2 linked regions of the Kluyveromyces lactis genome follow. The protein of the gene in region 1 interacts with the protein of each later gene in a pairwise test. Links are inferred from orthologs where the notes say so. Each region holds a gene or a part of one and is shown in the gene's direction. Other genes may lie near its edges.

Region 1 (2,542 bases):
GACCTGACTCGAGCTGGCGCCAATACTGATGATCTTCCCGGAAACAAATGGGAAGGAAAACACTGAAAATACCGTGTTTTCCCAATGAATAAAACACAAGTTGTAAGTAATGCCAAAAAGCGTTACCGAAAGTTTTCAATTCTCAATTTTCACTTTTGTTCTCCTTCATATGGGAAAAAAAGAAAAGAAGTCGCAGTGTCAGCTTGGTATCGCTTCGCATTGGACTGGAAAACCAACTGGGGCTAGGGATGGGGCTAGTGCCCAGTGTTGCCTTGCCAAGTGTCGTATATGTACTATTTAGTTATGGAATGGGTTGTGTTCTGTTTTTGTTTGTGAGCGGGAGGGTGCTAGGTATTTCAGAGATGTCGGGTTTCGATGGCAAAGATGCTACTACTACTGCTACTGCTGCTGCGCAGCAGCAGTAGCAGTGTCTATATTCTGCCTAGCATTTCGCACCGCAGCTCGCGCACGCAGCCTCTGACATTTACGTCCCTTGCCTTCTTTGCCTACTTCTCTTCTTCTCTTCTCTTCTCTTCTCTTCTTCTCTTTCCACTCGTTTACCATATTTATTATTAGAATCAAGATGTAAAGAGCTGGCAGGCTGCAGTTCGTTACATTCTCCATTAGGGATACATGAAAAAATACATATAGTAAATAAAACAAGGGCGTACAATAAGCTACCGCACCTTGCTATTTCGGGCAACACCAAGGCATAGAATCCGTTGGTTTGGATGTGTTCTCACTTCGTTGGTTCTGCCCTACCCGATAAGTTAGAGAAATGATGTATAGTGATGATATAGGGGAGACCAAAATGAGGGAAAGAGGGAAATCGTTATGAACGAAACCAGGGTAACAATGAGCGATGACCACGTCTCCCAAGGTTGTCGTTTTAGGATATTGAACCAGGAAATGCTAGAGGCTGGAATGGCGTAATGGAACCGTGCACTGTGGTCGAAGGGGATGTTTATTCTTGCAGTTTGGGAAACGTCTCGTGATAGGCTCTCACAACATAACGGGCAAACGCCTCTAAGAAATACCTTGCTTCTTATTAACCCCCAGTAGCTTAGTGGGCGGACCAGGCGGTCTGCGCGAATTGCCAGAAAACCGAAGTTGTGACAAATAAAAAAAAGTTACTTTCTCGGCAGTTCGAATCTCAAATGATGAATAACTATGCGTGAACAATCTCTGATTGATACAAATAACGCTTGTATCAAAGGATTAAAAAACATGTTGCCTTCCTTCTGAATTGACTTATAAGTAAAAACCTCTATTTTATTCTTTTTTTACAATTAATTACCATATCCCAGCGAGTAAGGCCAATTATGGACACCATTGAACCAGATTTTATTGAAACTGAGACTGGTAACGGTTACGGTTCCACTTTATCCACTTCTGCTAGAGGAACGTTAGATGAAAGTATCGTGTCCACTTTCAAAAGAGATTTCCATGAGATCAATGATAAATTAAAGAAAGTAGTCTACCCACATTTCCCATTGGGTTCACCAAGTGCTCAAGATCAACATGTTTTCCAAGGTACCGACCTCTGGGCCCCTCTATGTTTCATTATACTATACTCGTTGTTCTTATCCAAGGGTCGTGGACGGTTTTCCTCGTTTTTCATCACTTGTTGGCTGGTGATCAGTGCTATGGCCACACATTTGAAACTTTTGAATCCACATGAACCAATGTCTTGGATGTCATATTTGTCTCTTGCAGGTTATTGCATGTTCCCGCAAGTGATCAATTCGTTGGCATGTTCAATTATCTTACCTTTATTCAATAAGATCCCTAAAGTTACACTTATAAGACTAATAGTGATAGCAAGAATCGTCTCGTTTGCACTATGTTCGTCATGGTCAATAATATCAATGTGGAAAGTATCGAAATCCCAGACTTTGGTTCAAAAATACCCATTGGCTTTATGTTTAGTAACGCTAGGTTGGTTATCTGTGATTTGTTGAATCGGCCGCATTGCACGCACCCAAAAAAAACAAACTATCCACTTTATAAACCTGTTGTAAATAAATATATAAACATGCTTCGAAGTACAAGGACCTTTTCACCAATCAATTATCTCTTATCATTTTCTGTCTTAATTCTCCTCTGTATTTTCTATTAAAAGCTGCACCCTTGGCCTCTTTTACTGCAAAATGATGATGAAATTTAAAGGATTTGAAATAGGAATTACCAGAATCCCATTCTGATCAAAAGCATCGGTGAAAGGAAAAAGAGGGAGAACAAGCTGTATTATCCATCAACCACAGATTGTACCTTAAGATATCGATAGTCTAGTATCAGTGCTAATACGTTTCGGTACGAAAACTGCAGAGTTTATTTTGTTGAGTAATTGGGAGCCATCTTCCTTTTTTCTGTTGTTGGCCCTTCTTGATATTTTGGGTTCTGCTAGTCAGCCAGGAGCATACAAGATACGCATAGCAAATAGCTGCTTCAATAGCTGTCACATCGATTCAAGAACCATACAAACTTCACTTTCAAAAAATTTTTTCCAGTAGAATATGCCGTTTCTTCTTCCCTCAAATTG
Region 2 (2,331 bases), on another chromosome or scaffold:
TGAGAAGAAAGAGGAGAAAGCTAAAAAGTCAGTGGAATCCTCTCCGGTTAAGAGATCGAGCTCCAGATTGAGTTCCTTCTTTAGAAAACTGTTTCCCTTAAAGAAAAAAGCCAGGAAGGAAGACATTCAAGAAAAGGTATCTGCTAAAACTCAATGGCAGAAAGCGGTTACATCAAAACCGACTACATCAAAGCATATTATTTTACCATCTGAATCAGCAGAACCTCCTTCACTTCTTGATCTAGAAACAGAAGACGATATAGAAGATGATGGTTTTAAAGATCTCATGGACATCGATTTAGTGTTTGATTCTTTATTGTTGAAGTCTGAACAACACCAACAAAATTCCGATATTGCGTTAATTAACCAATTTAATGAAAGCACAAGAATTAGTCCACCAACCGTTGAACCACCTTTGCGCTCTTCGAAGAGACCTTTACTGGTAAAGGATTATCAAGGAAGACTCATACATCACCATAATAACGGGCAAACCACACATAGCGATCGCATCATAGAACATTTGCATCAAAATTGGAAAGCTGTACACTTCAATGCAGTAGTTCCTTCAGTAGTACGTTCCAATGATTCATCTTCACCTGTATCTGCTAAAAAATGCAGATTTAATGAAGAAATATACGTTAATGACACTTTCTCACCAACGGAGTATTTAAGGTCTGATAAGGCTTTCCCTGAAAGTCGGAAGCAATTGTCAAAAAGCAGATACATCGACGGAATCAAAATGGAACTGAATGAATTCAAGAAGAGAGAAATGCTAGTTCATCCTAACAGCTCTCAGTACACTCATTTCTTTCTATGACTCAAAGAAAAAAATTACCGAATACTATCACACACAAGGTAATACTAATATACAATCAAACTCAATAATTTTATATAATCTTTAATTTAGTTAGTTAATTATAATTATAATGATATGCGTCACCATGAACTTTCAACAATTATTGGTGCTTAGCCCATCATTTCCCATGAAAGATCCAGCAAAATATACCTCTCTCATGAATCTGCAACTTTCAGAGTTTCCGGACCTTAAGAAAAATAAAGGTCTTGAACCAAAAATACACCAAAGAACCAACGAAAAGAGAGACGACTTAGAAAACTCATACAAACTAGGGTATACCGTCAAGGAAATCGATCAGCCTATTGAGATATAGTAGATATGGATTCAGCAAGAAACTTCTACAAGACAATTTTGGCATCTTCTCATCCTTTGATTCTAACGATCCACCTTCTGGGAAAAGCGGTGCCAATTGTATTTTATTTGTTAGGATCATGGTTCCTTAGTTCCACAGTACAGTTCATAATTGTTATTTTAACATTGGCAGCAGACTTCTACTTCACGAAGAATATCAATGGTAGAAAGTTAATTCAACAGCGATGGTGGTATGATGTTAGTGGAGAAGACACTACGACGTTTAGATTTGAATCATTCAAAGAATATCCAGATGTTGCGGCGGCCCCAATCAACCCAATCGATTCAAAACTATTTTGGCTGTCACTTTATGTAGCTCCTACTATTTGGGTGGTCTTTGGATTTTTATGTTTGATTAAGTTCCAGTTTGTGTATTTGATACTAGTAATCTTTGCAGGTGGTTTAAATTTATGGAATGCTTACGCTTACCGTTTATGTGATCAATGGGAACCTGGCCATACAGCCGAAGCACCATTGTTCCAACTTCCAATGCTTCCATCGTTTGCAAACCTCGACAGAGTGACCAGATTGCAATCATTTTTCACCAGGTCTTGATAAAACTACAAATTTATTAAAAAGTACATAGATTTAGGTACATCAATGGAATGACACTCGTACAAATGTGAATAATACATCTTCTAACCAAAGGAAAACGAAAAGGTAGTCTTTTATCTCCTTTTATAAATACATGGCTTAAGTAGCCATTTTCCTTCTGGAATCTGTTCTCTTTTCTTCTGTAGCTCTTCCTTTTCTGTCTCTACTTCGATAAACTTCTGTCTACGTTCCAATTTCGCTTTTCTTTCTTCAATAATGTCTTGAGGTGGTTTGAAGAACTCGAATCTTGTAAACATTTTGTTACTGTCATCAGTATTCTTGTGGAAGAAACCTTGTAGTTTCAAGGCATTTACAAATTCTTCACCCTTCCCGTCACCAAATCTTGATTTGATTTCAGCAATCCATAGTTCTCCACGAGGAGCTAAAATTCTGTACGCTTCGTTAATAAAATCTAGGAAATTTGTTCCCATCAACGCCAAACAGAACACTACGATCGTACATGATTCATCTGGCAAGGGAACATTTCTGATATCGGCAACTGTTATTCTTTCATTTGCTTTCTTTAGGTC

The links. The genes of interacting proteins can lie anywhere in the genome.
Region 2: the proteins of YIP4 (region 1) and TVP23 interact in a two-hybrid assay, tested with the Saccharomyces cerevisiae proteins (2 studies listed by BioGRID). The link is inferred for Kluyveromyces lactis from reciprocal best matches to the Saccharomyces cerevisiae genes YIP4 and TVP23.

Annotation. Positions count from the first base shown.
Region 1 is NC_006042.1:1,156,485-1,159,026, reverse strand, and holds YIP4 (Yip4p), read left to right. Parts: upstream 1-1,322; coding exon 1,323-1,961; downstream 1,962-2,542. Other genes in the region: KLLA0_F12452g (uncharacterized protein), read left to right, coding at 2,517-2,542. UniProt on the Saccharomyces cerevisiae protein: May be involved in proper membrane localization of Rab GTPases.
Region 2 is NC_006039.1:1,019,846-1,022,176, reverse strand, and holds TVP23 (Tvp23p), read left to right. Parts: upstream 1-1,174; coding exon 1,175-1,762; downstream 1,763-2,331. Other genes in the region: AFR1 (Afr1p), read left to right, coding at 1-817; RRP8 (25S rRNA (adenine645-N1)-methyltransferase), read right to left, coding at 1,876-2,331. UniProt on the Saccharomyces cerevisiae protein: Golgi membrane protein involved in vesicular trafficking.